Pelodiscus sinensis: one gene and its partners. The protein of the gene in region 1 interacts with the protein of each later gene in a biochemical or structural test. Links are inferred from orthologs where the notes say so. Each region holds a gene or a part of one and is shown in the gene's direction. Other genes may lie near its edges. The genes, in order: NUP98, NUP88, NXF1 and NUP155.

Region 1 (7,502 bases):
AAATACTTTAACACAAAAACTTTTGCATTAAAAGTATTTGCGCAAAATCATGCCAGTGTAGACTGTGACGTAGTAGGGGGTACCTTGCTGATTGCTATGCTGGGCAGTGAGTTGTGAGTGACCTCCACTGGCTGCTGGCTGCAGCACAGCCCAGCAGGGCAGGGGATGAGTCATTATGCAAGGAGGCTTCGAACCTGTCTGACCAGTTATCTCCCAGGGAGTGGAACAATGGGAAGAAGGAGAGTGGAGCCCTGGCTGGGGGCAGGGCTGGAAGTGAGTTAGTTGGGTTTCTGGCTGGTATCATGAAGGAAGCAGCCTAGGCAACGGGCTGGGATTTAGGGGCCCAGGCTCCCCCATCTCAAGGGGGGGCTGAGGCATCCTAGGTCTGCCCTGTAACCAGATTACATATGTGCTGTGCTGTATCCTGGAGAAGCAATAAACTCTCTCTATTCTACTGGCTGGTGGAGTCTGTCTGTGCCATTACGGGGGTGCAGGAGACGGGAAAACCCCGACGCGCCATCACACTAATACTTTAACGCAAAAACTTTTGCGTTAAAAGTATTTGTGCAAAATCATGCCAGTGTAGACGTAGCCCAAAAGTATAAAATTAGTGCTTTTTATGCCAGATCTCTGATGCTCCCGCTCAGGAAGAAGCCCTTTTGTGCAATAGCTCTTTTAGAAGGCTGTGTCTACACTGGTGCAATCTTGCACAAAAGCAGCCGCTTTCGCGCCAAAACATGCTGCCTGTCTACACTAGCCGCATGTTCTTGCGCAAGAACACTGACATTCTAATGTATGAAATCAGTGCTTCTTGCGCAAGAACTATGATGCTCCTGCTCAGGAATAAGCCCTTTTGCGCAATTGTTCTTGCGCAAGAGGCCAGTGTAGATAGGCAACATGAATTTCTTGCGCAAGAAAGCCCTGTGGTTAAAATGGCCATCAGAGCTTTCTTGGCAAGAGAGCGTCTACACTGGCATGGATGCTCTTGGGCAAAAGCACATCTCTTGCGCAAAAGCACATGCCAGTGTAGACCCTCTCTTCTGGAAGAGTTTTTGCACAAGAACTCTTCCGCAAAAGAGTTCTTGCGCAAGAAGCTGCCCGTGTAGACATAGCCTGGCAGCTTCTTGCGCAAGAACTCTTTTGCGGAAGAGTTCTTGTGCAAAAACTCTTGCACAAGAGAGCTTTTGCGCAAGAGCATCCATGGCAGTGTAGACGCTCTCTTGCGCAAGAAAGATCTGATGGCCATTTTAACCATAGGGCTTTCTTGCGCAAGGAATTCATGTGGCCTGTCTACACTGGCCTCTTCTGGAAGAGCTCTTGCGCAAGAGGGCTTCTTCCTGAGAGGGAGCGTCAGAGTTCTCGCGCAAGAAGCCCTGATTTTCTACAGTACAATGTCAGTTTACTTGCGCAAGAACATGTGGCCAGTGTAGACAGGTGGCATATTTTTGTGCAAGAGAGGCCATTTTCACGCAAGTACGCGCCAGTGTAGACACAGCCCTTCGTTTTAAGGACAGACCTAAAGCAGACTCCATGACGACTCTTTTTGCTAATCCAATGGAAGCTGGAATCCTTTGCCAGTCGAGGTGGTGGCTAAAGAGTTGAAATCACTAAGAGCTGAAATCACTGGTTTGGCTGGGAGCCAGACCCATTGCAGCCAGTGAAGCAGTGGGCGGCTAGTAGGACCTGAAGCGGCCAGTGGAGTGGCTGGTGGAAACGACTGGCAGGCGGCCGGTAGGAACAGCGGCAGGCGACCAGCGGAGCGTCCGGTGGAGTGGAACGAGACAGCTGGTGGAGCGGCTCGCGTTAAAGACTGCAGCAGAACCCTACGGAGAGGTGGGGCCGTTAGCTTCGGACCATGTAAGATGCCACTATCTATCTCCTTGCCCCCATTTCCACCCAGGTTGGGAGGTAAAACCCTGCAGGTGACCTTTTGGACTCTACGTGGCACTGAGCAGGGACAGAGACTTTTGGGGTGTCGGACTTTGGGACTTCGGGTGATTCTTGGCTGGAGTGGGGCTTAGCTCACGTTTGGGCTGTGAACTCTGTTTGTGGTATTTTTCCAAGTTAATGCCGTATGACTTCTCTCTCTCTTTCATTAAATGTTTCTTTCCTACACTCAGACTCTATGCTTGCGAGTGGGGAAGCATTGTCTCTCAGAGGTGCCCAGGGGTGTGTGAATTTCCCAGGTTACTGAGTGGGGGCTCGAGCCGGTTCTGTGTGAGATGGACCCCTAGATATTGAACCCAGCCCCGGTTGTTGCCGGGCCTACCTGGCAGAAGAGTTACACATGCATCACCCTGCACCTCATGGTTCAATTAGAATATCTCTATCCGTTATGCTGTCATTTTAGCCCATTTCCTGAACCTGAGTTGGTATCTGTCGGGAGTGTGTGGGTACGAAGATCCTTTTTAAGGAGGTGTTGTTACCATCCTTCCTGAATGTGCTTTCAACTTATGTCTAGTACCAATTACTGTTTTACATCTTGTAACTAGTGCCAATTACTGTTCTACACCTGTGCTTATTACTAATTAGTTTTTTACACTCTTGGCCTTGTTGTTGCCAAGTTCTGTGAGCAGGAGCCTGCCTCTTGCTCACAACTTCGCTTTGCTTGATATTAGCAAGGTCTTAACCATTGTTACTCAGGTCTCAAACAGTCCTTAATTAATAGACCTGCTTACGGAGGCTCTGATGTTACCAACATTTCCAGCCATGTACAAAGATTGAATCAGGACCCCAGCATATTTTTGGGGGGCCCAGTACAAACTTGTAACATGGGCCCTCTCCCACACAAATACCACAATTTGTAGCCTGAGCTAGGCCCCTCTTGGCCTCCAGACCCTAGTTAAGTATATCTTTCCCCTCCCGTCCCCATGTGAGGGTGAATTCTTCCCTCTTGCAAACCACAATCCTCCTTCCAAGTTCCATGCAGATTACTATATATTTCAAACAAAAGATTGGGGGTTGGGACTGGGTGTTCCCAGGCTGTGCCACTGACTCACTATGTGAGACCTTGAGTAGGTAACTTCTCTGCACCATGTCTCAGTGTCCCCAGCTCTGAAATAAGATTAGTAATACCAAAGAAAACAGTATAAAATCTGGTGGTGCACATATGCACATGCCTCAGTGCACATAACATTTATTCCACATACAGATGGGAAAAATCTACCCATGGATGGAAAAGATTAGAGGGGACGTTAGTGAGGTAGTATCTTTTATTGGACCAAGCTGGTCTGACCTTGCCTTCTAATATCTTGGGATCAATATGACTATCACAACACTTGCATTAGTTCACAAACACCATTATTTTGCTCAGCACACAGTGAAAAGCAGGTGGGGCCCCTGTTCCAAGAAGCTGAGAATATAAAGAACTCCCTCCTGCAAGCTTTTATGCACAGTTAACTTTACCAGGTGTAGCCCCATTGAAATCAAACCTGTTTAGCCACTTTTGCGGTTGAGGCTTATTTGTTTTTGCAAAAATAGCTCTGGCAGGGGCATTGCATTACAGGGCTTCCTTGGAAAGGCAGCACAAGTCAGTGACTAGATGTGGTAGTGTGCTGAGGCTATGGGAAGGCAGCACAGGCTGAGGTTGCAATGGGGAAGGTAATGAAGGCCAGAGGCTAGGGTGTGGGTTTGGCTGAGTGGGAAGCAGTAGGAGGGGTTCTCCTTATCCATATGCAGAATACGCGGCCGTGAAGGGCACCTGAAAATTTGGGGCACCACTTAGTCTTAATGTTCACCCACTTGTCTCTTCCCATCCTTGTTCTGTGGCTCTGCTTTCTCAGGAGAGGATCTAGTTGACTTAAAAGTGAAAAAGCCTGCCAGAGCGATTAGCACAACACGGAGCCTATCCAAGTGGTAATGAAGACATCGAACCAGTTGTGTTAGTCTGCAGGAGCTTAGTTTAAAATCTGTTTTAAAAGTATTTCACGAGAGAGTTGCTGGAGATTATAAAATCACATCTCTACAAAAATCATCATCCCCGCTGCAGAGGGGCACCAGTGTAATAGTACTGCCCTGGGGCCTATGACTCCTAAGGGAGAGTCTGGTAGCAGGGCTGGGGCAGTGCCCACTGTGGGGCAGGCCAGGGACAGGGACACACAAGGGGAGCTGCTGGCTGGTTACTTTGGAAGGCACCCGGACCACGTGGCCCATGTCTTTTCCCCAAGAAAACACAGGCCCAGCCCCGGTTGCCATGGTAACGTGGTGCTGCCGTGTGATTGGCGGGCGCAGGATTAAGCCCCTCCTCTTTCCCCGCCCTTTAGAGAGGTGACTCAATGACCCGGATGTGGGGAAGAGCGCCGCTGGAAGAGGACGGAGTCTGGGCCAACCGCTCTCATGTTGACCAATGAGAACTCGTGTCGCTCGTGACGTTCGAAACGTCCCCTTCGCCAATCAGCGGAGGCAGCCAGGCGGAGGCGGGACCTGCCTCGGTTTCAAACGGCGGCAGCCAATAGGCGGACGGAACGGCGGGCTACGCGGGCCAATAGGGCGCGCGGGGAGGCGGGGCGCGGCGGCGGGAGGTGGGAGCGCGAGCGGAGTGTGACGCAGTTTCCCCTCCTGTGAGGCGACGGCGGACGGGTGGGCGTCGTGGCGGTGCCGTTTGCTGTCGGCGCGGTCGAGTCGCTCCCGTCGCGGGGCCCGGGTCCTCGGTAAGGCGCGGGCGGGGCCGCGCGGCCTCTCCAGCGGAGCCCGGCGCTTTTCTGCCGCTCGCGGCTCGCCCCAGGCCGCCGCGCAGGCCGCGCGCCTCGCTTCCTCCCGCCCGGGGCTGGTCTCCAGGGGGGCGCGAGGCCTCCCCGCGCGCTCCGGCCTGGCGCGTGGGGGCTGCCCAGGTTGCTGCGTGCCCGAGTGCGCGCGCGCGCTGCTGAGCCCGGGGGGGGCTCCCTGGGGGCACAGGATAGGCGCGTGGGGGAGGGATGGTGGCAGGGCTGTCTCCTCTCCTCCCCCCCCAGAGCGCGGCGGGCTTGGCGGTGACCCCCTTAGGGCGGCCCGGGGTTTGTCTTTGGGGTGCCCCATGGTCGGGATGCGCCTGGTGATGGGCACCCTCCCGAAGTGGGGGGGGGGGCGTTACTTTTGGGGGGGGGGTCGAGGCGGGCGACTCCCCAGAGTGAGGTGTGTGGATGGTGCAGTGGTGTATTATTAATAGTCTCGTGGCAGGCAGTGTGTCCGGTGAAAACAGCTTGAGTTTCACCGTCTGCTGACATAGTCAATGGGAGGGCAGCGCTAGGACTTCTCTCTCTGAACTCTGAATTCTCTTCCCTTCCCACCCCCCAATCAGCCAGGATGGTTTGGAGACTATTAATTATCCCTTTGTGTTGGGCTCTGTTGGGGAGACTAGCCTCATATTTCAGATGCTATTGTGTTTTTGGATGTTCCAGAGGTAAGAGTATAGTAGACTTCTGATAATCCAGAACCTATGGGACCTAGGTGGTGCCAGATTATTGGATATGCTGGACTATCAGGAGGTACTATAAGATGGTTGTGTGTGTGTGTGTGTATATACACACACACACACACACACACACATAGTATACATTATATACTGTATATAAAGTGTTCTTAACCCTTTTTATTGTACAGACTGTATACTGTAATGTTTTAGTTTTTTTTAAGCCTTTTTTTACCCTTTTTGCTCAGTTCAGCTGCTGCTGCTGTTACCTTGTAACTCATTTTTTGCCGAAGCTCATTCATTAGGCTCTTGCCATTTTGATGCCGGACTATCAGGAGTACCGGACTATTGGATGCTGGACTGTTGGAGTTTTACTGTAATTTTGTAGCACGAGTGAGATGGGGAACTTCCAGCAAGGCCCTGGAAATCATTTAAGATTTAATGTGCTTGGTGTCATAAAAGATACAAAAATAAACTCTTAGCCAATAGTGACTTGTGTAGTAAAAATTCCTAACTGTCAGGGTGGTCAAATATTGGAATAAATTGCCAAGGGAGGTGGTGGAATCTCCCTCTCTGGAGATATTTAAGAGCAGGTTAGATAGACATCTGTCAGGGATGGTGTAGACGGAGCTTGATCCTGCCTTGAGGGCGGGGGGCTGGACTCTATGACCTCTTGAGGTCCCTTCCAGTCCTATTATTCTATGATTCTATGATTAAAGCTACAGATGGGATGCGGTGGGAGATAGGGAAGGAATACAACTTTTTCTTCTCTTTAGCTGCTCACTAGTTAAGAATGGTACTATAACTTTTAAACAAGGAAGAAGAATTACATGGAAGGGTGGATTAATGTTCATCTAAGAGAAGATTTAGTTAGGTTTAGATACAAGAATACTTTTAAGGGAGGATGGGGAAAGTCGGTTATCTCCAACTCCTGCTGAAGGGAGCCTGGTTTAAAAATGAAAATTGATAGATTACAGGCAGTCCCCGAGTTAGGTGGATCCGACTTACATTGGATCCGCAGTTACGAACGGGGTTTGCTGCCTGTCTCCCTGGTCTCCTCTGCCTCGGGCTTCCTGTAGTCAGCGCTGGTCAGTTTCAGCAGCGGCTGAATCAGGACGCCTGGGGCAGAGCAGCTTGGGTGCTGCTGGGTTGGTCCAGTAGCGCCGAGGAGCGGCGCTACTGGAGCAACCCAGCAGCACCCAAACAGCTCTGCCCCAGGCGTCCCCAAGTCAGCCGCTGCTGAAACTGACCAGCGCTGACTACAGGAAGCCCGAGGCAGAGTTGCTCTGCCCCGGGCTTCCTGGAATCGGCCGCTGATCAGTTTCAGCAGCAGCTGACTTGGGGACGCCTGGGGTTCTTAAGTTGAATCTGTATGTAAGAACTGGTGTCCAGATTCAGCCTGTTGAAACTGATCAGCTGGCTGATTCCAGGAAGCCCGGGGCAGAGCAACTCTGCCTCGGGCTTCCTGTAGTCAGCGCAGGTCAGTTTCAGCAGCGGCTGAATCTGGATGCCAGTTCCGACTTACATACAGATTCAACTTAAGAACAAACCTACAGTCCCTATCTTGTACGTAACCTGGGGACTGCCTGTAGTTGTATGTTAGCAGAAGCTGAGAAGCCCTTCGGTTAGATAAACTGAAGGTATCTTAGTAGTAGAGGAAGCTACTGCATTCGGTGCAAGGGAGAATTGGAAAGACAAGTGTCAAGAGACCTCAGATGGCAATGGTCTCTTGACAATGGTAGCAGTCACCTGTAAGCCATACGGGGAAAGAGAAGTTAAATCATAGAAGCGGATGCAGCACTTTTGATTGTCAGTGTATGGGAACTATGGCAAAACTTAACTATCAGGTCAATAGAAAGTAAACATACTTTATTTTCAATGTATAATGAGGAAAAATAACAAGGATATACAGGTTGAACCTGTGGTCCGGGACACTCTGGCTCGGCAGAATCCATAGACTACGGTTTGAGGTGGCTAGGGAAGGGGGAGTGGGTCTCAGGGCACCTGCTGGAACCCCTTGGGCCGGGGCAGCAGTGGCAGGTAGCTTGTGTGCCTCCTGCCTTCTCCCTTCACTGGTCTGGAAAACCCTTGTCTGAGACGGGTCAGCTGTACCAGG
Region 2 (7,707 bases), on another chromosome or scaffold:
AGCATTTCTGACTACACAGCTCATATGGTAGATTATTTACTTCAGATGCAAGCTTTCCCTACATGGGGTTTTCTCAGGTGTGGTTTTTTTTAACATGATGCTTAGATGAGTGAGATTACATAGGGCCATATCTGCTCCCACTCCCCTGCTGCTTAGTTTTACAACCATTCCATTCAGCATACTTCTAGGATGGGCTCTACAAACCACAGTTTGAAAACAGCTCTGTTGAGCCACCTTTCCATTAAGCACGTGCAAGAGGACCAAGACGGGGGCATGAAAACATGAATGACCGACATCAGCAACATTTGAAAGAAGGGCAACTTTGCCCAGAACTAAGGAACTACAACACTTCAGGTAGAGTTTACCTGTGTGCTGATGTATAATCCACACTGGCATAAAACCAAGTGACTTGTCACAGTCAGATGATTCCTAGAAACAGAACAAAGCATGAGTTAGACACCCCTAAAGGAGAAGAGAACATTGAATTCTATCAGGCCTGAAATTAGATGTTAGAAGCATCTCCCACAGGATTTGTGCCTCTTGAACAGTTGTTACAATCAAACCCTTACTAGAGAAAGAGGTCTGATTTTTTTCCTCAAGGAAGAGGCCAAACTGTCTCCAGACAGAGGATGGCTATCATCTCAATGCAGAATCCCCTGTACTACTTATGGATTTTTTTATCTTCAGAATCTCTTATAGCAAGCTTTAAGAGAGGCATAAAGCTGCAGTGTACAAATCACACTTTGCACAAAACATAAGGGAGCTGCTCGTCTTACAGAATATTGCTGTTAAAAAGCGTATTGAGTTCCACAGCGGGCTGCATACCAGTGTTAAGTGAAGAGATCCATAAACCTCTTATTACAGCAAGAATGAATGAAGCCAGATTTCATCAGCCAATCAACAGTTGCTAGAAATGAATGCATTAAAATGTTTAGGCTTTGAGAACATCATTACATACTTGGCTGAATTCAGAAGGTCTACTGGAGGGTAAGGTAGTTAACATACAGCATGTAGTGATAGGAACCCGTCTCACCTTTTACACACTGGACAGGTAATCTTGCTGCCTGTGTCCAAGCCGTCAAGGATTGCATTGAAGCACTCCTGGTCAAACTGTAGACTCCGTTCATACTCTTGTATGGTCAACTGCTCTGTTCAAGCCCAGAAAACAAAAACCAGCTGTCACTGGCTACTGGCTTAAGACACTTGTCAAGATAAAATTGTTATGGCTATTCAGAGAGCTGGATTTGAGAAATACTGGGTTTGTCAGTATTTCTAACTTGTTTTTCTTTAGGGAATTCTGACTTAATTTTTTACTCATGATGCCCACTGAAAAGAGGATGCTAACCTAATTCTGCCCATTATATCTTCCATTTAAAGATCTCAAAGTAGTTTACAAGCATTAATCAACCGCACCTTACATCTCCCTATCTTATAGATGGGGAAACATGGATTGTGATTTGCCCAAGGTCAAAGAGTGTCTAAGCCTGAAGCTTCTGGATCCCAGTCCTATGCTCAGATTATTTCAGAGGATACAAGAGAGGATGTGTGTGCAATCAGGATTGTCATGTGGTCAATGATTCCTCATGGGAAAGTCAAATTAGGGTGAGACAGCCATAAATCAAATACTTTATATATTATCAGGGTTCAGGAACTCTTATTTCATATCAGAGATAACCTTCACATTTTCTATTCTTAATGGAAATACTGGAGCATTTTTGAAAATTTGCTTATCCAGCAATTGGCCTTCCAACCCTTCAGAAGGAAGCTAAAACTCATGTCCTTTGTTGGCACTTTCCACATCCCATGATTTAATTCCCAATTCTTTGGTAGCATTGCTTTGTTACATCTCCAATCACAACCAGCCACCTGCCAGGATCCCAAAGCATCTGAGATCATAGACTTTTAAAAAGAATCTTTTGGAAGCATGAGATTTCTGAGCCAAGAAGAAAGTCCGGCTTCAAATAAATGGATGACAAGGATTTCAGGAAGGTTAAAAATGACTCAGGTTAGGTCTATTAACAGGTCAAGATGTAATTTTTTTTTGAAAATTTACCTTGCAAAATCAACTCTTGCTGGATTTCCTCCAGTACTGCTTGTTCATCAGGGTCCTCCCACACCTGAAATGTACATCAATCAGTATTCCTCTCATTAGGCAAGTGGGGGACGGGGGGCATTATTTCATAGCACCAACAGGACAGTATTGTTTTGAAATACACAAACAATCCAGTGTAATCAAACACATGACTGTGCTGACTTTGCAATGACAGTTTCCTGAATTTGCATCATTTGTTTGCAGTTAGCAAGCAGAGGTTTCCAGACTCCTTTGACCAGTTTCCCCTCCTCTGTGAAACAGCTGTTTGTGCATGGACAAGGTAGCAAATTCTGCCCCCTCTCCCTGTTAAGGTCAAACCTCAGCATTTTATCCCCATGCCAAGAAACTACTAGACAAATAACACTAATCTTTCAAAATCAGGCACAAAAACCATCACCCAAAAGTCACAAGAATCTCATGGTTGAGGATAAAAACAGCAAGCAGTTAACTCCGGTCATCTGAAGAAGTGGACTGTGCCCACGAAAGCTCATAATACCATCTATGTGTTTTGTTAGTCTATAAAGTCCTACCAGACCATTTGCTTGCTGTTTTTTTCTGTAACAGACTCTCTCAGCTACCCCCTGAAGCTCCTGAATGGTTGAGGATGGAGATGCAGTTTGTAACATTGGTAGGCAGGGAAGCTGTGTATAGGGCAGATCTGAGATGATGTGCAAGAATCCAGCACACTGACCTGAGACAGCGCCTGCAAAGCCTGCCACTCCTCCTCCATCACTTCCTGCACCAGAGCACCCCTGGCATTGCAATGCACATTCTCCCCAGCCTGGCGATATCGATCCAGCAGCTTGGCACGACTGTTTTTAAGTCTCTCCACACAGCGCTTTGAGAAAAGAGAAAATAAATGATGCAGGATACATTAGCATCATGTCTTTTCTTTCAGCTGGACTACAGGGCAACCAGATGCTGCGATTTTATAGCTCACAGACATAACTGAAGAAAACGGAACAATTATAGGATTGTAATACCAACATGGTTTGGGGAAGCCCCACCAGCCAGCTGGATGGAACCAGAGACCTAGTCAGGCTCCTAGACCATTAGCAGACAGGACTACAGGAGACCAAGAGCAATTCAATTTGGCTGGGCAGATGGGATCCCAGTTCTCCAGGCAGAAGGTAAGATGGGGGAAAAGGTCTGTATTTTCTACCCAGTCTTTAACATATAGGGACCAAATTTGTATGGTATTTTACTATATTCACCCTCACGTGTGTTCAGATACATACTTGGCTGGCAATTCTTTGGCTTCTTCTGGCTAGACATTATTTGTTTTACCATCAGCCAGCTGTATATATTCTCCCCTCCCCCTCCCCCCGCCCCTTTAATAATCTGCAGTTGGTGGTAAGGGTGTAGGAGAACTGAGATTAAATCAGAGCCTCACAATATTTATTTCTCAAAGTTATCCTACTGGCTAGAAAAACCTAGGAAACTTATTTTGGAACCCTACAGAGCTTCAGGAGATTTGGGCAGCCAGCCAACCAGAATAGCTCCCCTCCCACCCCACTGCCACTAAGACACACAGGTTAACATGCAACTCTTCCTTCTGTATAATTTTCAGGGTGCCATTGAAATTAAGCATTGACCAACTCATATCTGTTTGAAAATGGTGTTAGGGAGACATAATGTGTAAGCTTTGGCCTGGGTAGCTAGACCACTTGGATTCGATTCCTACACTTGATAGAAGCCCTGTTTCTCTGGCTGGAAGATGGTGCAAAGCGTACTTAACAGGAATGCCATTAATAGCTTAGCAGGTCTCCCCACCCACTTCCCAGCCGGTGAGCACAGCAATCCTGCCACCGGGCTCGCTCCTGCCAGCAGTAGCTGGCAAAACAGGGGGCCATGCCAAGTGGAGCCCCCCCCCTTCTACTGCATCCAGCCCTGGCAGACAGGGGGACCCGGTGTTAGTGGGGCAGCCCTGATGTTTGAGGCTTGAGCGCAGGCAGGTGCCTCCTGCCTCATTTTGCCCGCTCGCTGCTACCCAGGGGGCTAGAGGAGTCCGGGGCGGGGAAATCGTTACAATGTATCCAGGGCCCGAACGCCGGGCTCCCCCGCGTTCTACGGGGCGGCGCTCACCCGGCGGTAGGTCTCCTTCCAGGGCGGGGCTGCGGGCCCCTTGTAGAGAGCGCGGCGCTGCTGCCCCGGCGCCTCCATGCCGCCAGCCTGGCCGTGGGGCGCGCTGGGACTTGTAGTCCCGCGCGGGGCGCGCTGGGAGCGGTAGTTCCGAGGCGCCCGGCGCGCTGATTGGCTGGCGGCGGCCGGCGCTGTTCCGGGGTGGCGCGATGGCGGCGGAGGACCCGGCGGGCGAGTGGCGGGCGGCGCTGCCGCACCACGCCGTGCTGTGCCGGCTGCGCGAGCGGGGCGCCCCCGGGCCCGACCCCGGGCCCGCCCGCAGCCTGCTCTTCGGGCTGGGCGCGGACCTGTTCCTGTGGGAGGCGGAGCGCGGCGCCTTCTTCACCCTCAGCCTGCGGGGCCTGAGCGGCGGGGGGGGCCGCGGGGCTGGGCCGGTACCAGGTACCGGGGGGGGTCTGAGGGGCGGGGGGCCGCGGGGCTGGGCCGGTACCAGGTACCGGGGGGGGTCTGAGAGGCGGGGGGGCCGCGGGGCTGGGCCGGTACCAGGTACCGGGGGGGTCTGAGGGGCGGGGGGGGCCGCGGGGCTGGGCCGGTACCAGGTACCGGGGGGGGTCTGAGGGGCGGGGGGGCCGCGGGGCTGGGCCGGTACCAGGTACCGGGGGGGGTCTGAGAGGCGGGGGGCCGCGGGGCTGGGCCGGTACCAGGTACCGGGGGGGGGTCTGAGCGGCGGGGGGGCCGCGGGGCTGGGCCGGTACCAGGTACTGGGGGGGGGCTGGGCCGGTACCAGGTACCGGGGGGGGGCCTGAGCGGCAGGGGGGCCGCGGGGCTGGGCCGGTACCAGGTACCGGGGGGGGTCTGAGGGGCGGGGGGGGCCGCGGGGCTGGGCCGGTACCAGGTACCGGGGGGGTCTGAGGGGCGGGGGGGCCGCGGGGCTGGGCCGGTACCAGGTACCGGGGGGGGTCTGAGGGGCGGGGGGGCCGCGGGGCTGGGCCGGTACCAGGTACCGGGGGGGGTCTGAGGGGCGGGGGGCCGCGGGGCTGGGCCGGTACCAGGTACCGGGGGGGGTCTGAGGGGCGGGGGGCCGCGGGGCTGGGCCGGTACCAGGTACCGGGGGGGTCTGAGGGGCGGGGGGGCCGCGGGGCTGGGCCGGTACCGGGTACCGGGGGGGTCTGAGGGGCGGGGGGGCCGCGGGGCTGGGCCGGTACCGGGTACCGGGGGGGTCTGAGGGGCGGGGGGGCCGCGGGGCTGGGCCGGTACCGGGTACCGGGGGGGTCTGAGGGGCGGGGGGGCCGCGGGGCTGGGCCGGTACCGGGTACCGGGGGGATCTGAGGGGCGGGGGGGCCGCGGGGCTGGGCCGGTACCGGGTACCGGGGGGGTCTGAGGGGCGGGGGGGCCGCGGGGCTGGGCCGGTACCGGGTACCGGGGGGGGGTCTGAGGGGCGGGGGGGCCGCGGGGCTGGGCCGGTACCGGGTACCGGGGGGGTCTGAGGGGCGGGGGGGCCGCGGGGCTGGGCCGGTACCGGGTACCGGGGGGGCCTGAGGGGCGGGGGGCCGCGGGGCTGGGCCGGTACCGGGTACCGGGGGGGGGTCTGAGGGGCGGGGGGGCCGCGGGGCTGGGCCGGTACCGGGTACCGGGGGGGGGCCTGAGCGGCGGGGGGGCCGCGGGGCTGGGCCGGTACCAGGTACCGGGGGGGGTCTGAGGGGCGGGGGGCCCGCGGGGCTGGGCCGGTACCAGGTACCGGGGGGGGTCTGAGGGGCGGGGGGCCGCGGGGCTGGGCCGGTACCAGGTACCGGGGGGGGTCTGAGGGGCGGGGGGCCCGCGGGGCTGGGCCGGTACCAGGTACCGGGGGGGGTCTGAGGGGCGGGGGGCCCGCGGGGCTGGGCCGGTACCAGGTACCGGGGGGGGTCTGAGGGGCGGGGGGCCCGCGGGGCTGGGCCGGTACCAGGTACCGGGGGGGGGTCTGAGGGGCGGGGGGCCCGCGGGGCTGGGCCGGTACCAGGTACCGGGGGGGGTCTGAGGGGCGGGGGGCCCGCGGGGCTGGGCCGGTACCAGGTACCGGGGGGGTGTCTGAGGGGCGGGGGGCCGCGGGGCTGGGCCGGTACCAGGTACCGGGGGGGGGTCTGAGGGGCGGGGGGCCGCGGGGCTGGGCCGGTACCAGGTACCGGGGGGGGTCTGAGGGGCGGGGGGCCCGCGGGGCTGGGCCGGTACCAGGTACCGGGGGGGGTCTGAGGGGCGGGGGGCCCGCGGGGCTGGGCCGGTACCAGGTACCGGGGGGGGGTCTGAGGGGCGGGGGGCCCGCGGGGCTGGGCCGGTACCAGGTCCCGGGGGGGGTCTGAGGGGCGGGGGGCCCGCGGGGCTGGGCCGGTACCAGGTACCGGGGGGGTGTCTGAGGGGCGGGGGGCCGCGGGGCTGGGCCGGTACCAGGTACCGGGGGGGGTCTGAGGGGCGGGGGGCCGCGGGGCTGGGCCGGTACCAGGTACCGGGGGGGGTCTGAGGGGCGGGGGGGCCGCGGGGCTGGGCCGGTACCAGGTACCGGGGGGGGTCTGAGGGGCGGGGGGGCTGCGGGGCTGGGCCGGTACCAGGTACCGGGGGGGGGGGGTCGGGGAGGAGTCTGAGGTTGTATGGAGCCCATGGGGCTGGGCTGGTATCAGGTACTGGGCAGTGGGGGATGTGTCTGTGTGGGGAGAAGCCCAGGGGGCCGGGTTGGTACCAGTTGCGGGGGAGGGCATGAGACTGGTGCAGAGTCCATTGGGCTGGTACCAGTTTCTGGGCAGGGGAGTGTGATACCCGGCGGGAGGGCTCGGCTGGATCGGGTGGGACTTGAGGAGGGCAATGCAGCGGGGGGGGCTAGGCCATTACTAGGCAGGGTGTCAGTCTGATGGGCCACACGATCTGACCTGTAACATTGGGGGCGTCACATGCTTCACTGTCTTTGCTCCCACCTGGGCTGCTCACAGACAGCCCAACAGCGTGCAGGACCTCTGCATTTCAAATGTGGTCAGAGCCAGGTGGGCAGGCTGCCCAGTTCCTACTGTATTTTAAATTACAGAGCTGCAGCAGGGCTTGGTCCCAGACCCGGCATCAGCTGAGCTGAGACCCTACATAGACGGGCTGCTGCCGGAGCTTCCCCACAGCTATCTCCCTGGTGCCGCCTGCCTCACCCCGGGCTGCTGCCTCTGTTATTAGAGGCAGCTGTGGGGGGAGGAGCACCGCACCATGGAGATAGTGCTGGGGGGAAACCGACTTTTTCTGCCCCCCCCCCCCCACCCTTTGCTGTCTCCAGTACAGAGGCAGCAAAGAGCGGGGAAAGAAATGTGAGTAGTGGACTTGACTATCCAATAAGTCTAGCCTTATCAGGTAGTCGACTAGTTGACTACTTACTTATATCCCTAACTCTGACACCAGCACCCTACTAGCAACACCCCAGTCCACTCCAGTTCTGACTTCCAGTACTCTCTGTAACTGCTTGCAAGTCTCAAATTTTCCCCAAAACATAATCAGGGCACATTGATCTCTTCCTGTGCTCCATTTGT
Region 3 (7,437 bases), on another chromosome or scaffold:
GATAGTGAAGTCCAAAGCAGATTGTGAAGAGATTCAAAAAGACCTCACAAAACTGTGACTGGGCAACAAAAAAAAAATTAAAAATTAATGGAGATTGCCTATCTCCTAGAACTGGAAGGGACCTTGAAAGGTCATCAAGTCCAGTCCCCTGCCTTCACAGCAGGACCAAGTACCATCCTGACAAATTTTTGCCCCAAATCCCTAAATGGCCTCTACAAGGATTGAATTTACAACTCTGGGTTTAGCAGGCCAATGCTCAAACCACTGAGCTATCCCTCCCCCAAATGAATTGGCAAAATGGCAAATGAATTTTAATCTTGGTAATGCCTATTGGAAAAATAATCCCAAATTATATGTACAAAATGATGGTAACTAAATTAGCTATTTCCACTCGAGAGAGAGATCTTGGAGTCACTGTGGCTCATTCTCTGAAAACATCACTCAATATGCAGCATCAGTCACAAAAGCAAACAATGTTAGGAATCGTTAAAAAAGGGATAGAGAATGAGCCAGATAATATCTACCGCTCTGCTCTGCACTGATTAGGCCTCAGTTGGAGTATTGTGTCTAATTCAGGGCACCACATTTTAAGAAAGATGTGGAGAAATTGGAGAGTGTATAAAGAAGAGCAACAAAAATGCTTAAAGGTCTAGAGAACATGAGTCATGAGGGAAGACTGAAAGAACTGGGTCTTAGTTTGGAAAAGAGAAGATTGAGAGGGGATATGTTAGCACAGCTGAGGCCAACCTGAGTCCGGCCTTGCTGCCCAGGTCAGCACAGGGAGCCAGGAGAGGACTGTTTTTTGGGGTGGCTTTCAAGTCATGGGTGGGTGGGTGTTTTGTGAGCCACATCCAGCAGGGCTGGACTGAGGCATGGGCGAGCTGGGCAGCTGCCCGGGGCGTCAACTGATGAGGGGCACCTGATGGCAGCTGTAAGGGGCGCGCAGCATCACTTACAGCTGCCATCAGGCGCCGCGTGCCCGGCTCCCGCAGCACTGGCCCTGCAGAGCCGGCCAGCAGTGCCCTTCCCCCCACGGCCGCGGGGCCCTGCACGGCCCAGCACGCGTGCCAGCAACGCTGGCTGGGCCGGGCTGGGCAGCACATGTGCCCCGGGGGCAGGCCTGCGCACCTTGGGGGGGTGGGGCCGTGCGCCTGGGCCCAGGGCACCAAAAGGGCTCAGGCTGGCCCTGCTGGGCAGGGGAGCTCTCCAGAGCAGCCATGAAAGCTGCAGAAATAAAGATGGTGGAAGGCAGCAGGAGCCTGCTGTGGCCAAGAAACCTCAAAATGCATTTAAATGCAGTTTCTTAAAGGGGCAGAGCCTTATTTAGACTTTTTTTGTCTTGTTTTGCTCGACAGCTTTGCTCCGGTTCTTTGTGCTGGATCCACTGCTATCTTGCCTCTTTGCCCAGAATGAGTTGGCCACCCCTGTGTTAGCAATTTTCAAGTACCTACAAGGGTGTAATGAGTAGGGAGAGACATTTTTCTCCTTGACCTCTGATGATAGGACAAGAAGCAATGGGCTTAAATTGCAACAAGAGAGGTTTAGGATGGACATTGGGGTGCATCTACACTGCACCGTTATTTCGAGATAACTAGAGTTATTTCGAAATAACAATGTGTCTACACAGCCATTCCATTATTTTGAAATAACAGACACCTTATTCCGAAATCTGAAAACCTCATCCTATGAGGAATAATGGCTATTCTGAAATAGCTATTTTGAAATAAGACATGTGTAGATGCTTACATGCTCCACTGCTGCTATTTTGAAATAGCCCCTCACCAGGGCCATTCTAGGTTATTCTTCCCCAGTGCCTCTTGCAGCTCTAAATCGAGATAGCACGTCTACATTAGGGAAGCCGGCCTTGGACTCATTTTGAGGCTTCCCTGCAGTGTAAACTTGCTATTTCGAAACTATTGCTTATTTCAAAACAAAGTGTGCAGTGTAGACGTACCTTAGAAAAAACTTCCTTTCAGGATGGTTAAACACTGGAATAAATTGCCTAGGGAGGTTATGGAATCTCTATCATTGGAGACATTCAAGAGCAGGTTAGATAGACATCTATCGGAAATGATTCTTAAATCAGGGCTACTCAACACGTGAGCCACTTGCAGCACATTCCCCATTTGAGGCCTGCGATGTAGTTTGGGTTTACGCAGAGCTCAACATTGACCCGTAAGTGGGATGCTTTGAACATGGCCTCCACTGGGAACATGCTCCACGATGGCGAGGCATCTCAGGCAGGGTGAGCATCGAAGCATGCAAGCAGATGGGCTGGCTGGAACTGACTGGTACAGGGTGTTGGCATTTCTAGCCCCCAGGAAGAGGTGCTGGGAGCATTGGGGCATTGTGGGAAGTGCTGGCTGCTTAACCTTGTCGGCAGAGCCTGAGAAGTGCAGACTGGCTCACACTGACCATGTTTGGGTCCAGCACCATGGCTTAAGGCTTAATCTTTGTATTCATGCCTATCAGTGTGAAATAAGCTATTTGCATATCTATTTGCATGTATATGCAACCACACTTAAGTTGCAGCTCTCGGCATGTGCTGTGAGTATCAATGTGGCCCCCGGGGCTTCCAAAGTTGAGTAGCCCTGATCTAGATGATATTTGATCCTTCTGGGAGTACAGGAGACTGTACTTGATGACCTCTCAAGGTCCCTTCCTGTTCTAGTATTCTATGAATCCATGAGGCTACCACATCTGTACACCCACATTTTGAATACTGTGTGCAGATGTGGTAGCCTCATCTTAAAAAAGATACCTTGACATTAGAAAAAGTTCAAAAAAAGGGCAACAAAAATTATTAGTTGTTTGGAATGGCTGCCATATGAAGAGAGATTAAAAAGACTGGGCCTTTTCATCTTAGAAAAGAGAAGACTAAGCAAGGGGGATACAATAGAGGTGTATAAAATCATGACTTGTGTGGAGAAAGTAAATAAGGAAAAGTTACCTACTTTTCCCCATAACTCAAGAACTAGGGGTCACCAATTGAAATTAATAGGTAGCAGGTTTAAAACAAAAGGAAGCATTTCTTCACACAGCACAGAGTCATCCTTTGGAACGCCTTGCCAGAGGATGTTGTGAAGACAAGTACTTTAACGGGTTCAAAAAAGAACTAGATAAATTCATGGAAAATAGGTTCATCAATGGCTATTAGCTAGACTGGGTAGGAAAGGTGTCCCTAGTCTCTGTCAGAGGCTAGGGCGGGGTGACAGGGGAGGGATCACTTGATGACTACTTATTCTGTTCATTCTGTCTGGGGCACCTGGCATTGGCCACTGTTGGAAGACAGGATTCTGGGCTAGGTGGACCATTGATCTAACCCAGTATGGCTGCTCTTGTGTTCTTAAAAAAATCATGAATTTCCTTCCATAAAAATCACCAGATTTCTATTTTATAAAATCATTTTTGGGCTCTGATAATGATTTTCATCTTTTCTCTCCAAACATGGGGGCTAGAAACCTTAGGGTAATGTTAAAATGAAACCTGTGGTTTCTACTTGATCTCCTGCCTCCAGGGACTGAGGGTGAAATGGCAAGTGGAGAAAGGGTTGACTTTGTACTTGCTCATCCTGGGAGCACGTATCTTAATTTTGGCACACAGCACTGGAGATAGGCTGCTTCTGCCACCCCTCACACCTTTCTACACCTCCTTTGCCCCTGAAGCTGGATTTGACTGCTAGAATAGCATCCCTCTGATATACATCAGCCCCAGCACAAGAAGAGCACAGGGCAAGCAGGATCTTCTGCCACAGTTGAGGCCCCCTGGGAGCGTGTGTGTCTTGCAGTGCAAGGAGGGGAAGGAATAATAATAACACTCCTGGCTGCTGAAACTGGGTGCCTGCACTGGGGTTAATCCCGGGGACTGAGGCAGATGGTGGCTGCTGCAACCACCAAATGTAGACCAGGATCCCCAGTGAAACTTGAACCCAGGACCTTAGGGATGGGGGAAGGAAGAGGAGCAAAGGCAGATAATGAGATAGAAGGGGTCGCTCTGTCACATTCTTTGTTCAGATGCAACTTGAACGCAGATTCCCCTGCGGGGGGGGAGGGTCCTGGCGGTCGCTGCAGGACAGATTCGAACCCGCGGCCTAAGAAGAACTCCGTCCCTGGGAACCCATCCTTCCAGCAGCTACCGCCCTGCAATGCAAGGGGGCGCTTGGCTAGTATGCGCAGCCCAGCTTTCTCAACCGCGTTGAGAGGTCGGGCTTTTCTGAGCATGCGTAATAGCTCCGCCTCCTCGGAAGCAAATAAGGGGAGGCGTAACTCGGCGCACGCGTATCTTCTCAACGGAAAGTGTCGGACGCCCTGTACTCATGAGCTGCTGAACTACGCATGCGCAATGCCTTCGGTTGTCCCACCCACCGCATGCGCACCTTCCGGGAGCTGTTTACGCATGCGCTGGGGCAGCGGAGCCGAGCGGTGGAATCGGTTGCCTGGTTCCCCCCGCTCGGCTAAGTAGGAGATTTTCCTTCCCCTCCCCCGCCCAGGAGCGGCGCGCGAAGCCCCCCCTCGATGGCAGAGGAAGGGAAAGGGGGCTACAGCGGTGAGGGGGCTGGTGACGCGGGTCGGGGAGGGCTGTGGCTGAGGCCTGTGGACACTCGTGGGGGTGGTGTCTGTGGGGGCGGAGCCATGGGGTCCGGCGGGGAGGGGGTCTGAGGGCGGGGTGGGGAGGAGGCTGGGGTGGGTTCTGGGGGGTCTGTGGAGTCTCGGGGGGGGTGCTGCATGGGGCTAGTCTGTTGGGATCTGGCTTCCCTATTTCTGGGAGCCTCCCCGGTCCCCCCCCCGTTTCCCAGCCCAGGGGCTCTGGGGGGATGGGTGCAGTCGAAGGGCTGGGGGGAGGGGCCCTGTGGTGGCAATAGGCAGATCAGTAGGATTTCCTCATCTCTACTGATGCAGGGCCCAAGAGGGTCCAGGGGTTCCTGTAGGTGGTTTGCCATGTGTTGAGCATTCAAGGAGGAAAGTTCCTGGATGGTGTCTGATGCCCCTTCTGCTCCTCTGAACAGAACATGACGACCGTGTGGGTGGTGGGGGCTTCTCTGGGAGAAGGAGAAAAGGCCGGGGCCCGTTCCGAGGCAAGATGTACAGTGAAGTGAACCACCGTTCTTGGAACCGAGGTGTAGCAGGTCATAGTCCTTCTGGTCAGGTGGAGGAGAGTGATGGAGATGTTCCCATGAGTGACGCCCATGACAGCCTTCGAACTAGATAGTGAGTAAGAAGTGCTGTTGGCATTGTGTGTGGTGGAGTGCCTCGGGGTGTTGGGATGCCAGTTTTAGTCAGGTCCCAAGGGCGGGGGGGAGCTGGTTGGTGGCGGGAGGGAAGGAATGGGATATGGGGCTTTTCCCTCCAGGTGGCATTAGCAGCATTTTAGCCCTTGATTGGGTACTAGGGAAAGCTATGTTGTTCCTGTGTTGGGGATAAGTGGGGCCTGTGTGTCTGGGGACTGCTGTAGACATTTCATCCCAATGCAGCGAGGACCACAGGGTTCAAGCAGGTGTTTCTGGATTCATTAGCTTTCAAAGTATCCTCCCCATCCTTTTAATGTTAACAGCTTGTGTCCCTCTGCTTCCCAGTGCTCCCTATGGGCCACGGCTGAACAGGCGAGGTGATGATTGGCACAACCGGGGCCGGGGAGGTGCCACCAACATCCATGTCACAGTGAAACAAGAGCCCACTTCCCAGGACCGGGGTGCCAGTGCTATTCGCAACAGTAACCGGAGGAGGTGGTACAAGGTCACAGTGAGTGCCAGAGGGTGAGGGAGGGAGCAGGGAATGTGGCCAAATCCCTACCCCACAGCCTGTTAACCTGGTGCAGTAAGATCAGGGTCTAAAGTATAAGCCACAGGCCTATTATAAGGCCTGAGGCTTGACCTACAATAATCAAGATTTTGCTAATATAAATAAAGCAAAGTTAATCTGTGAGCAAAAGGCAGGTCCAAGCCGTAAAACACTAATTGATATTAGGCACAGGCTGGAAGCACATTTCAGAGGGATAGTAACAGGACATCTTGTTAAAAATCTTGGTACCAACACACTCCCCACAGATAACAGGGACATTCTGACCCAGGTTCAATGAAGGGTCTAAATTGACAGCATGATGGCTAGAGATGTTTTTGATCGAGCCACCAGATGCAAGGTAATGGGTGGTACCTAGGTAATGACAGCGGGTGTCAACCAGATACATCAGTAGTGGTGGGTAACTTGTTTGTACCTGTGTATAAAGATGTGTCTTGGTGGGGCTGTCTCTGTCCTGCCTAGGAGGCAGTGGGACCTCCCATTAATTGAACTCTGAGTTCATTGTGAGGGTGTACACATGTGTAGTGGTTTAATAAAGTCTATGGATAATTATTATTGTATTTTGTTTGACAATAAACCTGGCCTGGTGTCTTTGATCCTTATTGGATTTTGTGGTCTTTGGGAGCTCTCTTGGAGTCTGCTGTCCTGGCTACCTGTGCAGAGTAGGGATGTGAAAGGTTAACTGGTAGGCATCACCATTAACAGGTGATGCTTACCAGTTCTAGTTAACTAGTGGGGGCTGGAGCCCTGTCTGTGGCAGGTCTGGGCACATCGCAGGCATGGGGCAGCTCTGGCCGTGGCAAGGGCCTGGGTGTGTGTGTGGGCTGAAGTGCCCCTCACCTTAATTGATGAACTAGTTAAACTTCACATTTTAAATCCATAGTGCAGAGTCAGTGCAGCATACAGCGGGGAGCATATGCTTGCACCGAATGATTATCATCATTGAATGTAATAGAACCGGGGCAGGGAACCTCTTTTGGGTCAGGAGCTACTGACCCACAGTAAAATCAGTCGGGGGCAGCACACAAGTGAGAAGCAAAAAAACCCAACCATCCCAAAACCAAATCTCACTGATGTGGCCCCTGATTGAGGAGGAGAAAAAGACACTTCCCATATTCCCCTCGCACACCAGAGCCTTGTGGGGCCCAGGCTAGTAGATTTGTGCACTTTGGCCTCATGGGGAGGCAGCAGGGGGCTGGAGCGCCAGCATAGGCTCTGGATCCAGGCAAGCTGGGTGCCACATCCAGCCCCTGTGTCTTAGGTTCTCCACCCCTGGAGTAGAATAACTATCAGGACACCCCACCTCACCTTTGCATGGACACTCTGACTTAATTTGTGAAGGGGGCACAATGTCCAGTTGGTTGCCAGGTATCTGGCCAGCAGGCAGCTCTCTGGCTGAGAGGAGAGATGGACCCTGTTGCCCATTGGTTGATGCACCCATGGGACTGTTCCCAGAGACCTCCTTTGCTCCCAGTCCTATAGTTTGCTGCAAGCTTACATGCCACTTACAAGTGCCTTTTTTTCCTAGATTCCCTATGGAAAGAAGTATGAAAAGTCATGGCTTCTGAGCTCTCTCCAGAACATGTCCGCTGTCCCCTTTACTCCAGTGGAGGTGAGAGCTGCACTGTGATATCTGTCTAGG
Region 4 (7,749 bases), on another chromosome or scaffold:
TGGATAGTGACACCCCAGCCCACAGACTCACACTTCAGACTACTGCTCCCTTCACCATTTCGGCACAGAATCACCCCAGTGTACAAGGTGCATCTCTCCAACACACAGACAGAGCCTTCTTTGCTCTTCCCAGAAGCCCTGGACTCACCAAAGCCAGAGAAGCCCATCGTGGATGCGAGCTCCGGATCAAGTCCTGTCACCAATTCCACATCTATAAGGGAATAGAGTGATTAGCATCAGCTATGTTTAGCACCCACCGTTCTGGCACCTCTCCCATAGCAGTCACTCCTTGGCATCTGCTCCTAGCTACTCCTTGTTGCAGGATTGAAGATGCACTAGGAATCAAAACAGGAGCCACTGCCACCAGCAGCACATGAAGAGGAGATCTGCCAGGAGTTGATTGGCCCAGCTACCATACACAGAGGCTACGTCTACACTGGCCCCTTTTTCGGAAGGGGCATGCTAATTTTGAAAGTGGGAATAGGGAAATCCGCGGGGGATTTAAATATCCCTCACGGATTTAAATAAACATGTCCGCCGCTTTTTTTCTGGCTTGGGGAAAAGCCGGAAAAAAAGCGTCGAGACTGGCCCGATCCTCCGGAATAAAGCCCTATTCCGGAGGATCTCTTATTCCTACTTCCTCCTTTGAAAAAGGGGCCAGTGTAGACGTAGCCAGAGACTTCCAAAAGCACCAAAGGACTCTCACAGCAGTCCCTGTGAGTTGTGCACTTGTGTAACTGCTCAGGCAAGATTTAAATGATGCCCAACTGATTAGCAGTGTCCACAGCTAGGTTAGCTAGGTTCATGTTTCTCCTAGTGGTGCACATAAATGCATTCTGCTCATGGATGGAAAAAAAAATCTGCACATGAATTGAAAAGATTAGCAGGAACATTGCTCTCCTAAGCCTTAGCCCTTGAGAAGCAGCTCTACTGAAGAAACAGCTGCACACAATGTCACAGCCACAGAGACAGTGCTCGATGGACTACAATCTCTGCCTTTGCGATAGCACCCAAGCAGGCTGCTGTTTACCCAGCCAAACTCATTACCCCCTCCATGTCCCCAAGTTATCCTTTATAATACCCCTTCCCCAATATAACTCCTGCATTTACAAGTCCTTGGCATCATCCTCCCTAATCAGGTTCTGAAGCTGGGCTAGCTGAAGAGAACTCAATCTAAATGTTTCCAGCTAACAAAGGTACAAATATAGGTTCAAGATTTGGGAAACTTGCACTCTAACAGATACTACAATGATTCTCTGAGGCACCAGCTAGCTCAGACAAATTCTTCCATCCTCTTAGCTGTGAATAAACTGGGGAGTGGGTCATCAAAACTACATAGTACCGGGCATCAAATTTTTCACAGTCCTGAGAGATGTAACTAGGTCTACCTGAGCAGACCAGGTCTGTGTTCAAAGGGACTGGGTTATAAAGTGTATGGTCTAAGATTTCCAATAGAGTTTAAGGGAGACAGATGCCAAGTATAGGAGATGTAGTGAAAGCCCAAAAATTTCAGTGGGCAGGACATGTTAGGAAGACTGACAAACTGAGCATCTCTTGGAAGACATCCTTACAGTTTCCAACACTGTGACTGGTCAAGGAGAAGATGGAGGGAATTAACATTGTACAAGACCTAACAGCCCTTAATGTACCAATGTGTTGACAGAAAGAGGGAGAAATGTGTTGACAGAAAGAGGTGAGTTGAAGCCCTCACTTTAACTCCAAACTTCTGACCCAGCCCTGAGCCCCTCATCCTCAGCCCTACCCTAGTGTACACCCCAGTGCATTCCAACTCTCTGAACTCTCCCACGGGCTTAACTTCTCCGCCCACCTCTCTCCTCCACAGTTGTGTTACATGCACCAGTAAGAAGGAGATGTGTCAGATATCACCACCATACTGGTGCACAATACAAAATTCATTCTGCATGTGTAGGAAAAATTAGAGGGTCATCATCTAATGTTTAGAGTCATCATCCCACATTAAACAGTTTTAGGAGTTGGTACACAAAGAACTTAGCCTGATTAGTACAATAGCAAATATTAAAAATTTTAACCTTTCATTTAGATACTGGAAAAAGAGAAACAGCTAAAATATTTGAAATATCAAGTACAGTATTAAGACTTTCATTTTAAGTACAATTTAGAATGTTCATATCCTCCTTCCCCTCCACCCCCCCATAATTTTTTAACTGTGATTTTTTTAAAAAGACCTCAAAAACTTATCACTTTTTAAAGTTTTGCTTATAATTAAGATTAATTTCTAGACCCAATTATTACGATAGCACTAGGAATGTTAAATATCAGTTAACTGAATAGACAAGTAACAGCATGAATTCTTATTGGTTACTCGACTATTCTATAGTCTGCAGGGGCAGGGCCAGGAGCCAGTGCTCTCCAGCCCCACTCCTAAGGGACACCCTGCTAACCCATGCTGCTGCCTCTGTATCAGAAGCAACAGTGCAGGGTGCCAGGTGGGAGCTGGTCCATGAGGGGAGCCAGTTTAAAAGTCATCTCCTCTCGTAGAACGGCTGCCTGTTTCCCCATGCTTCTACCTATGATACAGAGCCAGCAGCGCAAAATGGCAGCAGATCCTGTCCAGGCGGGGTGGAGCTGAGCTACTGGACCCAGGATGAGCCGGAACTGAGCCAAGCTGCCTGCTCACCTAGCTCCTAATACACTTTAAAGGCAGAGCCACAGCAAGGGGTAGGTCCTGGACAGTCACAAGCCAGGACTGATCCAGGCTGCTAGCCACCCTTCTAAAAATGTACTGGCATGGGAGGTGGGGAATGAAAGTAGTCTCTATAGCATTAACCAATAAGCTTTTGCTTATCGGTTAATCAATTACAGTATTACATCCCTAGACAGCACTTAGCTCTCAAAGTTAGAATTTTTCAAAGCTTACTTATGTCTTAATTAATGTATTATAATTCCTTTGATAAGAGTCCCACAGTTTCATAGCCCTGTGTTAACTTTTTCCCATTTATCATCTTCTAGTTAAGGGAAGAATAGTCTTGGAATAAAGGCATTAACTTGTGATTCAGGAAATGTAAAATCAGTTCCCAGCTCTGCCACAGACGTCATGCATGACTTAGGGCCCCACCAGATGTATGGTCCAGTTGGTCAATTTCATAGGTTTTTAAAAAGCAGTAAACTATTATTTCAACTATTTAAACCTGAACTTTCACAATTGTGTAATTTTAGGGAATCTGACTCAAAGGAATCGTGTGGGGGAAGAAGAGACAGGTCCGCTAGGTTATTATGAGGCAGGGGGGAGGGGAAGAGGAAGGAGAACAACAACACTGCTACCCATACTTCTGCTGCGCTGCCTTCAGAACTTGTCAGCTGTAGAACGGTGGCTGCAGGCCAAGCGCCCCATTGGAGAGATAAGGATGGCATGGTAAAATACTACCATCCTTTCTGCACTGCTGCTTGACACCCACCTCTGAAGATGGGATTACAGAATTAAAAGTAGTATGGCATAGTAGTGCCACCTTTACTCATGGGCTGCTGCTCACAGCTGCTGCTCTCCAGCAGCCCAGATCTGAAAGCCATGCAGAAATAAGAGTCTCAAAACTCTAAACTCACCCCCCCCCCACACATTGTGAACTCTTACAGCAGTGTTTCTTAAACTATGTTCCGCAAAACACTGGTGTTCCGTGAACAACTCACAGGTGTGCTGCAAATTCTTCTTTGTTTTTGTCTTCTTCTGTCTGACAACAATTTTTTTTGAAGAAAATGTTCATAGGTGTTCCGCATTAAAAAAATATATATATTATTGTTCAGCGTTCTGTGGTCTCAAAAAGTTTAAGGAACACTGCCTTACAACAACTCCTTTTTGTGCGAGGGCCACCAAGTTGAGGAACACTGGTCTCTCCTATGAAAAACATGTAATATGTAGGAGAAGAGAGGGAAGATGGGAACACACAGAAGAACAGATTTCACAGCGCAGGATGAATTTGTCATGGCCGTGAACTTCGTAGGGGCCTATGGACAAGTTTATTAATTTCTCAGTGCCTTAGTTTGCTCACAAACACCACAAGGGATGAGAGTCCCTTGCTCATCTCTTAGCACGAGTACTGAAAAGTAGGCTAAAGAAAACGTCTTGTTGTGTGTATGCAGAGTGCCTGGCACCACAGGGTTCCAATCTCCTAGCACGAGCGATAGAAATAACAGCCATGTGGCCGCACCTTAAAGCCTCCAAGCCGCGTACTTCAGCAGGTACGAACAATACACTGCGGACTCCTGTCACAGACTCCTGACACCTCTCCCGGTTGAGCACAGCTCAGCCTTCCGGCTGAGAGCCGGGGCACATCTGCGGGAGAGCCACGGGGCGGAGGAAGGCCCAGTGACGCCGCGGGGGAGCCCGTCGCGGGGTCTAAGCGCAGGTGGGCATCGGGGGACAACGCGACCCAAGAGGATGAGAGTTCCCGAGCCCTGCTCCCCCCGCCCTGGGCTCTCGGGGCGTCCTCCTCCGCCTTCCCCACTCACAGGACGCCTCGGCCGCCCCACCGGCCTCCTCTGCTTCCATCGCCGGATCTTCGACTGCCCACTCGGCTCCGCGGCCACCAATTTAAACTTAACCCTTGCCTGCGGGGCGCCCCCCCCCACCGGAAGTGAGTGTCCGTGAGGCGGAAGTGCGTCAGACGCTCCGCCGCGCTGGCTGTTGGGGTTTGGCGCGGTCCTGTCCCTGTCTCAGGCCGCTACTCGCGATGCCCGTGGCCATGAGCCCGGCCACCCCGGCCTTGCAGGAGGCGCTGGAGAACGCGGGCCGCATCATCGACCGTCAGATCCAGGATGATCGCTGCTACCCCGACCTGTCCGAGCTGCTGGCGGTGCCGGCGCCCGGTGAGGAGCCCTGCGGGCCCGCTCGCCGCTCTGGTCCCCAGCCCAGCGCTTCCCCCTCCCCTCCACGGACGGGTCGGCGCCCCCGGCTCATCCCCCTCGGGACTCGGTGTCCGCGCGCTACCCCTAGGCCTTTTCGTGGCGGGGGGGGGGCATCTGCTTGGGGGCAGCCGTGCCAGAGCGCCAGCGCCCTCCCCCTGTGCGCGCCTCTGCTGCCTTCTTCCTGGCACTAGCGCCCCACGGGCAGACACCTCCTAGCCAGACCGGCAGCGCGTGGAGCACTGGCAACTCCAGGGTCCCCAGCCCCTGTGAGGAGTCGTTCAGATTATGGTTGTGGAAATGCTTTGCCTGGGCTCGCTCATTGCGTGGTGTCTGAGCCAGAGCCTGAACAGCATATGCCTTGCACCTTTATAGCCCTGTAGCTATAGCCCAAGCACTATGAGCCGATGTCAGTTGACGTAGGGTGTTCTGTTGCATTGTAGATATATCCTATGAGCTTCTTTATTGTCCACAGGTGATTAAGGATAGCACTGACACTAAGAAATTGCCAAATAATTCCTGAACGGTTGCCTTAAAGTTACCTTGTTGATTGCCCATATATTCTCCATGTATGTTGAGAATTTGCCTCCTTTTGTGTTTCAGTTCAGTTACCTTTGATGAGTTATATTTCTGCCTTGTCAGGAGGTCAGTATATTAATTAAGTTAAAACACTCTCGCTACGTCTACACTGGCATGATTTTCCAGAAATGCTTTTAATGGAAAAGTTTTCCGTTAAAAGCATTTTCGGAAAAGAGCATCTAGATTGGCATGGACACTTTTCCGCAAAAGCACTTTTTGCGGAAAAGGGTCCGCGCCAATCTAGACACGGTTTTGCACAAAAAAGCCCCGATCGCTATTTTAGCCATCGGGGCTTTTTTGCGCAAAACAGTACTGTGCTGTCTACACTGGCCCTCTTGCGCAAATGATTTGCGCAAGAAGGCTTTTGCCCGAACGGGAGCAGCACAGTATTTCCGCAAGAACACTGACGATCTTACATGAGATCGCCAGTGATCTTGCGGAAATTCAAGCGGCCAGTGTAGACAGTTGACAAGTTTTTCCGCAAAAGCAGATGATTTTGCGGAAAAACTTGCCAGTCTTGACACAGCCCTATCAATACTTTTAAATGATCCTATAGTAAGTAATGGCACTGGGATTGATTCCAGTAAAAAAAGGAGTAAATGCCTCCAAAGAGGGTAATCAAATAAAAAAGGCCATGATCTTTCCACTTTTTGTGCATAGGCAGATGATACACATCTTTTTTACTCTTTAAGAACACACTTTTTGAAAACTTGTTTCACTAACATAGAGCATAAACTAATGTACAACAATTTTAAAATGAAAACATGTCAGAAGTTAGTGAACTGTCAAATAGGTAACCAAAGGAAAAGCAAGACCATGTTTACGAAGCTTAATAGAGAATCATTTTTCTTGGCCTGATAAGATTCTTCTCACAAAAGAGACTCTTGTTGACTTCAGCCTAACTTCCTTTTGTTGCCAGGAAAAACAATATTTCAAATGTAAACTTGAGTATTTATAATAAATAGAGGGGACTGTATTTCACTTGTATTATACCACTGTAGTATGTGAACAGTTATTGAGAGCCTTTAGGATGGAAGGTGCTATAAGCATATTTATTAGATTTTTAAAGCCAATCCACCAATTTTAGGAGTACAGTGAATGTTGTATTTGTTTTATTTATATAAAGTTTATATTCGAGATAAGGCTTTAAAGACTTGCTTTTAAAATTGTGAAAAGTCACTCATTTAAAAATGCTTTATACATATTTTGAATGAGCTGTTGTACTCTTAGTGCTGTGGTTTGAGAACTTTATAGTTTGTCCATTTATCTGAAATAATCCACCAAAATTAAGAGGAATTTATACTAGTCTAATTTAGATTTAATAAATATGAATGCTTGCTAATTCAGATATTGGGGCAGGGGAAATCTATTATCATGTACGTGTTATTTTTTGGCTGATATCTTGTTTTACATATGACATTTTAAAGTGTATTTCCTTTTTTTAATTGCAGGTAGTCCCACAGTTTCTGGTATGTCAGATATGGATTATCCTTTGCAAGGACCTGGTTTGCTCTCAATACCCAATCTTCCAGAGATAAGTTCAATCCGCAGAGTCCCACTTCCTCCTGAGCTAGTGGAGCAATTTGGACGTATCCTAATAAAAACCACATATTTCTTTGTGTGTATAATAATGTTATAAATGAATGTTTGTTATTTCATAATATTTTGACCAAGATTCTTCAAGTACCTTTCCCTGGATGTATTCTTATCCGTCATTGGAGTCCATAGGACTCTTAAGAGGTAAAGTTATTTCAGCAATCAGCAACTACGTGTAATTTTGATACTCAATGCCAGTTGGGTATTATTATCATAATGATCTTAATACATTTAAAGGGGTCTTCATAAGTTACTGGTAAAATTTAAATGTTTTTAACATCAAGTGGAATAACGAAGTGTTTTTAGGGTTGTCAAACAATTTAAAAAAACATGTCAGATTTAAAAATAGTTGTGATTAATTGCAGTGTTAAAAATAGAATACCAGTCATTAAAATATTTTTGGATGTTGCCTACTTCTGTGCCATGCATGTCACATGATGCTTACCCGGCAGCTAAATTCTGGCTCCATGCTGTCACATGAGGTCTACATCTTGCCAAAGCCCAGGGCCATTCCGCAGCCCACTGGATACTTCTGGCTCACCTGGGGCACCGTATCAGATTTTGGTTTGTGTGAGATTGTGTGTTGTGAGTGTATTAGCGTGATGTGCAACAGTCTCAGCACACTAAAGGCACATCTACATAGCAGGGCTACACTCGAAATAAGCTACGCAACTTGAGCAACGCTAATTGCATAGT

The links.
Region 2: the proteins of NUP98 (region 1) and NUP88 form a complex in vitro, tested with the Homo sapiens proteins (2 studies listed by BioGRID). The link is inferred for Pelodiscus sinensis from reciprocal best matches to the Homo sapiens genes NUP98 and NUP88.
Region 3: the proteins of NUP98 (region 1) and NXF1 form a complex in vitro, tested with the Homo sapiens proteins (5 studies listed by BioGRID and IntAct). The link is inferred for Pelodiscus sinensis from reciprocal best matches to the Homo sapiens genes NUP98 and NXF1.
Region 4: the proteins of NUP98 (region 1) and NUP155 form a complex in vitro, tested with the Homo sapiens proteins (2 studies listed by BioGRID). The link is inferred for Pelodiscus sinensis from reciprocal best matches to the Homo sapiens genes NUP98 and NUP155.

What each region holds. Positions count from the first base shown.
Region 1 is NC_134711.1:325,796,606-325,804,107, reverse strand, and holds the start of NUP98 (nuclear pore complex protein Nup98-Nup96), read left to right. Parts: upstream 1-4,492; 5' UTR 4,493-4,649; intron 4,650-7,502. UniProt on the Homo sapiens protein: Plays a role in the nuclear pore complex (NPC) assembly and/or maintenance. NUP98 and NUP96 are involved in the bidirectional transport across the NPC. May anchor NUP153 and TPR to the NPC.
Region 2 is NC_134731.1:25,946,990-25,954,696, forward strand, and holds the start of NUP88 (nuclear pore complex protein Nup88), read left to right. Parts: upstream 1-4,346; 5' UTR 4,347-4,383; coding exon 4,384-4,582; intron 4,583-4,688; coding exon 4,689-4,720; intron 4,721-6,934; exon of another isoform or gene 6,935-7,707. Other genes in the region: RPAIN (RPA-interacting protein), read right to left, coding at 366-429, 1,034-1,148, 2,054-2,117, 2,784-2,930, 4,178-4,255. UniProt on the Homo sapiens protein: Component of nuclear pore complex.
Region 3 is NC_134721.1:36,439,849-36,447,285, reverse strand, and holds the start of NXF1 (nuclear RNA export factor 1), read left to right. Parts: upstream 1-4,370; 5' UTR 4,371-4,514; coding exon 4,515-4,545; intron 4,546-5,005; coding exon 5,006-5,207; intron 5,208-5,572; coding exon 5,573-5,738; intron 5,739-7,323; coding exon 7,324-7,407; intron 7,408-7,437.
Region 4 is NC_134716.1:105,219,604-105,227,352, forward strand, and holds the start of NUP155 (nuclear pore complex protein Nup155), read left to right. Parts: upstream 1-4,632; 5' UTR 4,633-4,706; coding exon 4,707-4,842; intron 4,843-5,503; exon of another isoform or gene 5,504-5,523; intron 5,524-6,908; coding exon 6,909-7,046; intron 7,047-7,749. Other genes in the region: WDR70 (WD repeat-containing protein 70), read right to left, coding at 149-211, 4,486-4,525.